Macaca fascicularis: one gene and its partner. The protein of the gene in region 1 purifies or fractionates together with the protein of each later gene. This does not show direct contact. Links are inferred from orthologs where the notes say so. Each region holds a gene or a part of one and is shown on either strand. Other genes may lie near its edges.

Region 1 (4,052 bases):
CGCATCTTGAAAAAGCTTACTGTAGCAATGGAATCCTTAATATTAAATGCTAGAATTTCAAACGAGTGTCACTATTTTCTCAAAAATATTTGTCAACTGTACTACATATAGCGCCAATTCTGGAAGAAGACGAACATGATTTGAATGGAACATCAGAAACACACTGATATACATACGTGAAAGGAAATAACGAGACTACAGATTTTTAAAATTTACCCCCAAAATGGCAAATGTATCAAAGAAACAAAACACATTTGCCAGTTATGTTGCACAAGATCTCTGTCTTGAAACATCACATTCTTTCAAGCAACATATAGCAAACTGCTTTCTCTAAGACTATCTTTAACACTGGTGAGAAAGCCTTTTAAACTATTTTCCGATTAACACCTCCCTCCTCAATTTGTTAAATATTTTGATCAAGTACAACAATGAAACCGTTTTTAAGGAAATAATGTCTAACTTAAAAAAACATTTAATCTCAATCTCTTTAATCAATGGAGGTGTGACAACCAACGCATGTAAAATTAACCTTAATCCACCAACTAAAACACGCAAAATGTCTCCTAACAATTCTCCTCCTTAAAACAACAACCGTACACATAAATACGGTTCTGACCTCCACCACTACTGCGAACAGCTAATTAATAAAGAGAATGGTTGTTTGGAGACCAAGGTGCAACACCCCACCTCATAAACCTCCCAAAATAACCATATCATCCAAGTAGAACTGAACATTATTTTTGCTAAAGCAGGATTTCAATCCCGGGGAGCCTCAGCCCTCAGACAATGGTGGTTACCAGACAGTGCTGCACAGTTGGGTCCAAATGACACATTTCACTAGGCCTTGGACACAACACACACACATGCGCGCGCGCGCGCGCACACACACACGCACACACACACAATATCCCAAGGGGCCAGTTCTAAGGAAGGGGCGTTCAAACCCCACTAGGAGACGGAGAGCAGCACCGCGGCATGGGGGGTCGCTAGGGGAGGACAGGCAAGGGGGTGTCGATAGAGCGGAAGGGTAACTGCACTGCACACGAGGGAGGGGGCTGGAAATGGCCGATGGATTCTATATTTATTTATTTAAAGGTCTTGATTTAACGGGTCCTTCCCAGGGGTTCTGTAACTAAAGGCAAACTGCGCAGCAAACATTGTGGGCTTGGGAGAGGAGTCGCTGCTCCCCCTACCCCGTGACCAGGGACGGGGGGGCGGGGGAAACAAGTTCCCCGGCCAACACCACAGACCACCCCGATTCCCCTCTCCCGCTCCTCCCCAGGAAGGGGTAGGCTAACACAGAAAAATGGGGGAAAACAAGTTCCCCAGCCAACCCCACCGCCCGAGTGCTCCCAGTTGCTCCCCCCAACCTACCATTAGAAAGAGACAGACTAAACCATGGAAGGCAGCAGAAAAGAGAGAAATCACGCCGCTCGCCTTCCCCCCCGGCCAACAGACTTCCGCGGGGTCCGTGAGCGAGCCGAGAAGCCAAAGGGATGGGTGGGGGTGGAGGGTGCCGAGCCCCCGAAACCAAACAAAGCGCGGCCTGAGCGAGAGCCCGGGCGAGTAGGGAAGCCGCGGCTTTTCCTGCCGGCCCGGCCCCGGCTGACACTGCGGCACCGGGGGACCCGCCTCCGCTCAGCTTGGGTCTCCCACCCCTAGGGCGCGCAGGCCGCCCCCGCCCGCCCCTGCCTCCCTTCCCGCGGTGCCCCGGCCGGCTGGCGGCTGGGAGGGAGCCCGGCCTTACCCCGCTCGCCGACGTTGTTCCGCTCCTGAGGCAGCGGCGGAGGCGGCGGTGGCGGCGGCGGAGGCTGCTGCTGCTGCTGTGGCGGCGGCGGAGGCTGCTGCTGGGGCGGCTGCTGCTGCTGGGGTGGCTGCGGCGGCGGCTGCTGCGGGGGCTGCTGCTGCTGTTGCTGCACCGGGCGCGGCCGCGACACTCGCCTGGGTCTCCGGTTGGCGGCTCGGACGGAGTTCATTTGCCGGGCTGAGGTGGCGGCGTTGGCGGAGGGACACACACACGCACACGCACAGCGAGCTTCGGGGCAGGAGAAGGGGGTGGGGAGAGTGGGAGAGGGAGGAGGAAGGAGAAGGGGCGAGGGGAAGGGGAGACGCTGAAGGCGGAGGGGGCGAGCGGGACCCCGAGTCCGGAGAAAGGCCTGGGTACACAGACGGAGACCGAGGGAGGCCGGCCGGGCGGGCCTGACGCACGGGGAAGGCCGAGGCCGCCGGGCGGGGCGGCCGCGAGGGACGAAGGCAGAAAGACGGGCAGAGCGAGAGAAAGAAAGAAAGGGCGTCCGCCGCTTGGGGATCCCGAGGCGAAGCGCGGCGGCGGCGGCGGCGGCGGCGGCGGCGGCTGAGGAGACAGATCCCGGTCCCGCCGACTCGCGAGCGGCGTCTCCGGCAGCGGGGGGAGTGGGCGGGCGGGTGAGGAAGGGAGAAGAAGAGAGGGAGAGAAGGGAGGGAGGGAGCAGGGGGCGCCCGGCTCTTTTTTTTTCCCTCTTCCTCCCCCCCACACCCCCTGAAAGAGATTTCTGTGAGGAATTTTTCTCTTTCTTCGGCCTCTTCTCTCTCCTCCCCCCCTTCTCTCCTCGGCGAAGGGGAAATGAGTGTGAAGGGAGGAGATAGGGAGAAAAAGAGGCGTCGTCGTTCCTCCTCCTTAAAGGAACCTTTTCTCCTCCTCCTCCTCAGCCCTGTCGCCGCTGCTTCTGCTGCTGCTCCGTGGCAGGAGGAGCCATTGACACCGCCGGAGCCTCCACTCGCCCAGTGGGTCCCTCCCCGCCGCGGGGCTGGCCGGGGGCGCGGGGGAGGGCCGCGAGGCGGCGGGGGGAGGGGTGAATGGGCGGGGAGAAGAGGGGCGGGGAATCCGTCCAGGCGGCCAATCTAAGGCTCCCGTACAACCTTCCGGCCAATGGGGCCTCCGCTCTTATCGCGAAGTTCCTTCAACGCCCCGTTTCCTCTCTCGGGTTTCCTCCCTCCCCCGCCTAGGAGGGGGAAAGAGGAAAGGGGGAGTGTGGTGGGGCGGGTGATAATGGGAGGTATCAGGGCAAATAATAGAGCAGGGGGTGGGCGAAGAGAGCGCCAGTGCGTAGCGACGATTCTGGGAGAGGAGGTGCTCGGAGGAAAGGGCGGGGGTTGCTGATGTAATGGGGAGAAGTGATTAATCCTTCGGTTCGCCGTTTCAGCTTCCCCCTCTACCCCAGCCTTCACCCAATTTTGTTGAGCTGAAAAAAAAGTGGAACGAGGGAGCCAATCTTTGGTAACTCGGGTTTTCTGTGGTAGGTGGGTTCAAAATCTGAGCTGTAGGGAGCGCTAGAGATTTCGTGCCCTTTAGCGAAGCTGAGGGTATTTGCAAACCCTGGAGATTTCCTTCTCCGAGCTTTGGGCTTGGTAACCGAAGTTTGGAGTCGGTGCTTAATCGTAGATCATCTAAACCTTGAAAAAGCTTTGACTTTTGGCCAGTTTGATTTGTTCTCTGAAGAAGTGTGTACAATGTGTGGGAAACTAATATGTGAGAGGAGAGAAGTAAATGAGTTGATGTTGTGATTGTTTATGTGATTTACTTTTTAAATTTTTTTTCAGGTCCCACAAACTACAAGGAAAAGAAAAACCCTCAAGAGGAATTACCTTTATACCTGATGCCCCCAACATAATCTCTCTTCAAGGGAAACTTGTTTTTATTCCCTCGCTTCTGTTACGATGACTGAAAATGTACTCTTTCTCGATTCTCCCCCTTCTCTCTTTTGTTTTGTATTTTTTTGGATGTGGTAAAACTGTCAGTTTATCTGATTCTCTGGTTTTCAGAACTTTGGGCAATGTCTCTGGTTTGAGTGTCATCAGTTGCTGTCTAGGTTTGACATCGATAATTAAGTAACTACAAAGCGTGATAAAGCTTTTGAGAGGGAGGAAAGTGTATTTTGGAAGGAGGAAGAGACGCAAAGAGGCGAGCCTGTATCTTGTACTGTGTTGAGTCCCAGACTTGGTGTGTGACTACAGGCAAAATACTTCACCTTTCTAGATGTCACCCCCCCCCCACCTCCCGAGTTTAAATAAGA
Region 2 (3,974 bases), on another chromosome or scaffold:
GCATGCACCACCACGCCCGGCTAATTTCTGCATTTTTAATAGAGTATTTTTGCATTTTTAATAGAGTCGGGGTTTCACCATGTTGCCCGCCTTGGCCTCCCAAAGTGCTGGGATTACAAGCATGAGCCACCACGCCTCGCCTCAGATAGAATATTTTAGCTCAAAGTTTATTTTCCTCCTTTCAGTATTTCTACCTTTGAGTCTAGGTACAAGATGGGAGATATGCAGGAAGAATCAACAGTGCCTGTTGTCCACAATTAATTCTAAATGTGTCCCTGCCATCTTTAGATTGAGTAGATTTATTCTGAAAGCTGGGTATGCCTCCAGGACATCATAAAAAAACTACTCTATTTCAAACACACCAAAAGACTAGATACAGAAGACCGAGTGCTCAGAGTAGGCTTGATATCTGCTTGTGAAGAAGAAAATCGGTCACATCAAGATAGCCACAAGCTCTGCAACCTTCTCAACTTCCTCCCATCCTCCTCCAATTACTTACAAAGATCCATAATGTGGTTCCTGCAGATGGCACAGTTATCAACCACAATATCCCAGGCCCAGAGGGCTACTGCATTCCACTGCAAAGACAAAAAGAGGGAACAATGCATTCTCCTTATAACACACACACAGTTTTTAGGACTTCAGGCTGCAGTTGTAGTTATGATCTCTGGCCACAGGGAACCACCAAACAAAAGTTTTTGGATATTATGTTAATCTTATTATACCAAAGACAACAGTAGACAACACATACATTCTCCTATTCTCCAAAAGACTGAGTATATGAACACATAAATTAATGTCATCTTTTAATTTGTTTCCTGTAGTTTAAAACAATTTAGTCTGGCCGGACGCAGTGGCTCACGCCCATAATCCTAGCACTTTGGAAGGCTGAGGCGGGTGGATCACCTGAAGTCAGGAGTTCGAGACCAGCCTGGCCAATATGGCGAAACCCCGTCTTTACTACAAATACAAAAATTAGCCAGGCTTGGTGGCGGGTGTCTATAATGCCAGCTATTTGGGAAGCTAAGGCAGGAGAATCGCTTGAATCTGGGGGACAGAGGTTGCAGTGAGCCGAGATCGTGCCACTGCACTCCAGCCTGGGCGATGGAGTGAGACTCCATCTAAAAAAAAAAAAAAAAAAAAAGCACAAACTTGAATTTCTGTGCAGGTTTTGGTGGCAGTTGCAGAAGCGCTCAAAATCTGAATAAGTATCTGCTCTTCCAGGCAGCTTTGGAAGCATGAGCAATGAAGTGAAAGCTAGGGAACAGAATGAACTAAGATGATGACTGGATCATAAAACGGGTAATCGTGGGATAAGCTGGATAATTAACTGCCCATGTCAGTACACAGAACAAGGTCATCACTTAAATCTTAGATTACTTCATAACAAATTCTACAATTCACTAGAATTTTGTTCGATTCTTACCATAAAATAAACTGATGTTCTGAACTTTTATATGTTTAGACTCTTCTATTAAGATAATAATTCCAGTAAGAGTTTAACTAAAAGTGGCATTTCATTCATTCAACTCTGGTTTCCTCAATTACAAGTACTCCCAAACCTTCATCGCTTTCAAACCCCAGTCTCAGTGCCTAGTAACTTCTTCACCACTTTTCACATCACAGCTTCAACTTGGAGGAAAAGCCCCTACTTCTATTATTCTTCAATATGGCTGGCTGTAACTGAGCAGCAGTGGCCACAATGAGACACCAAAAAGCACTAGGAGGGGGGGATATTGTCAGTGTTTAGCCAGATGTTCCAGGAATATCTTCCCTATTTCAGAATCTCCATTTCGAATAGTTTTCATGTTAGGTGGGAATCGACACTTTTCTCCCAAACTGTGGCAAACCACTAAAATGCATTTCATGCAAAAGACACGTTCCATTTTTGCTTTCCCCTCTTACCAAGTCATTCGCAACTACTACTCAACCCTCCCGAAATGCCACAGGATTTGGGCTCGGATTTTCTTAACAAGTTCCACCGTGCTTTTTATTATTATTTCGGAAGGGGGAGATTCTGAACGTGACAGAGAATCCAAGAGTGGGGTGGTTGTGGGAAAAGCCAACAGACGTCTCAGAACACCCAAGCATTACACTCCAGACTCTAACTCGGCGGTGTGAGGCCCAGAGATGGGGTTAATGGAGGCCTCGGTTCAGCGAGGAACAAGTCTGATCCCTTCAAGTGAGAGGACCCCAAGCAAGCTTCAAAAAGGGGCGGAGCAAGATCACTAGCGGGGCTCCTCAGAGGCCTCCAATGCGGTAGGACCTCAGGTTCCAGGCTTTCGCCGCACTGCCCCATCCTCCACCGCCGCAGTCGCTCTGACTCCCCATTCCACCCACCCCACCCCACCCCACCCCACCCCACCCCACCCCACCCTACCTTCCCCCACCTCTCAACCACTCCAGTGACAGCTCAGGCGCTTGGCTCCCGCCGCCAAGTCGCAACCCCGCGTATCTCAACAAGCAGCTCTGTGATTGGCCCCTCAGCCTCACATCGAAACCAACACTTCCCCTGACAGTGGGCCGCCGTCACGCCGATCAACTCTAAGGCCCGCCCCCCGACTTCCTTTCGTGGTACCCGGTCCCAGGAACGCCCTAAAATGAAACCCTTTACTCCGCGCCTCGACCATCCTCGGGCCTGCCAGCCAGATCCGCGCCTCTCTAGCTTCCCTGAGGAAGGCGCTGGCGAGACCCAACCTTTTTCACTTCAAAGCGCTTCTTGCCCGCGCCGCTGTTGGTGCCGCTCGGGGTATCCACATCCATCGCTGCCGCCATTTTGGAAACACACGGTCTGTCGTCCGACCACCGCGCCTGCGCAGCAGCGCACACCTCGTTCCCCCAGCCTCCCCGGCACCTCCTCCCGCACCCCACCCCTTACTGGCGCGCGTGGGGGAGGTGGGGGCGGAGCACGTGACCACGCCTCTTAAAGGGGCTATCGCAGGTCGCCCCACCCGCGAAGTGTCGGCCGGGGAGGGGGCGGTGGCCGGAGTGGGTGGGGCGGGGCCGGGCGGGGCCGAGGCTACGTGAGCTAGCCTGGTAGAAACGTTCGAAAGGGCTCGAGGTCGCCGCCTCCTCTGGGAAGCCCCCGGCCGCACTCCATCAGCTGGGGCGGCGGCTGCTTCCTCCGCCTGAGTCGGACCTGCGCCGCAGTCCTGTCCTGCCTACCGGGCTCGCCCGGTCGCCGCGCGACTCCCATTGCTAGCCGGGGTGGGCGCCCGCCGCCTGCCCCGAAACCTGAGAGCCCTCGCTGGTCTTTCGCAGACTCTGACCCACCTCCGAGCCAGGCCCAAGGCGCAGTCCGCGTGGGAGGGCTGGGGCCCAGGCACCGTCTGGTCTCCGATTTCTGTTCGGGAACTGCTCAGGGATCGATGGGGAGAGAGGAGAGCCCCGAAGGTCCTCCCTAAGGCCAGACTGAGCAGGCCCCCAGTGCTGCCCTCATCCCCCCGCCAAGCCTGGAGGGTGGCCTCTGCGCCCGCTTAGTCGCAGTCCTAGGACCGCCTTTGGTCGTGGTGCGCGGTTTCACCGTGGCGTGTGTCAGTCCCCACTCCTCATTCCTCAGTTGTCATCTTGTGTAGGGTGATTTCTCCCCAGTCTGTGTCCTCTTTCCGCTACTTGTGCTATAGTGAAACCGACCCATCTGCAGTCGCTGTATTTCTTTAATTTTTGTGAAGCATTCTGACTTTTTGGGGTGTTTTTCTGAGACGGAGTTTCGCTCTTGCTGCCCAGGCTGGAGTGCACTGGCGCGATTTCGGCTCACTGCAACCTCCACCTCCCGGGTCCAAGCGATTCTCCTGCCTCAGCCTCCCTAGTAGCTGGGATTACAGGTGTCCGCCACCACGCCCGGCTCTTTTGTATTTTTAGTAGAAACGGGTTTTTACCATGTTGGCCAGGCCGGTCTCGAACTCCTGACCTCAGGTGATCCGCCTGCCTCGGCCTCCCAAAGTGCTGGAATTACAGGCTAGAGCCGATTTTTT

The links. Proteins that work in one complex are often made in the same cells at the same time.
Region 2: the proteins of FBXO11 (region 1) and RBX1 purify together in Homo sapiens (co-immunoprecipitation; 4 studies listed by BioGRID and IntAct, with this or other methods). This does not show direct contact. The link is inferred for Macaca fascicularis from reciprocal best matches to the Homo sapiens genes FBXO11 and RBX1.

Annotation. Positions count from the first base shown.
Region 1 is NC_088387.1:74,104,695-74,108,746, reverse strand, and holds the start of FBXO11 (F-box only protein 11), read right to left. Parts: upstream 2,801-4,052; 5' UTR 2,764-2,800; coding exon of another isoform or gene 2,689-2,763; 5' UTR 1,977-2,688; coding exon 1,748-1,976; intron 1,687-1,747; exon of another isoform or gene 1,468-1,686; coding exon of another isoform or gene 1,399-1,467; exon of another isoform or gene 1,375-1,398; intron 1-1,374. Other genes in the region: uncharacterized protein, read left to right, coding at 1,399-1,467, 2,689-2,763, 3,183-3,256, 3,580-3,700. UniProt on the Homo sapiens protein: Substrate recognition component of a SCF (SKP1-CUL1-F-box protein) E3 ubiquitin-protein ligase complex which mediates the ubiquitination and subsequent proteasomal degradation of target proteins, such as DTL/CDT2, BCL6, SNAI1 and PRDM1/BLIMP1.
Region 2 is NC_088384.1:10,679,339-10,683,312, forward strand, and holds the start of RBX1 (E3 ubiquitin-protein ligase RBX1), read right to left. Parts: upstream 2,801-3,974; 5' UTR 2,776-2,800; coding exon 2,698-2,775; intron 579-2,697; coding exon 500-578; intron 1-499. UniProt on the Homo sapiens protein: E3 ubiquitin ligase component of multiple cullin-RING-based E3 ubiquitin-protein ligase (CRLs) complexes which mediate the ubiquitination and subsequent proteasomal degradation of target proteins, including proteins involved in cell cycle progression, signal transduction, transcription and transcription-coupled nucleotide excision repair.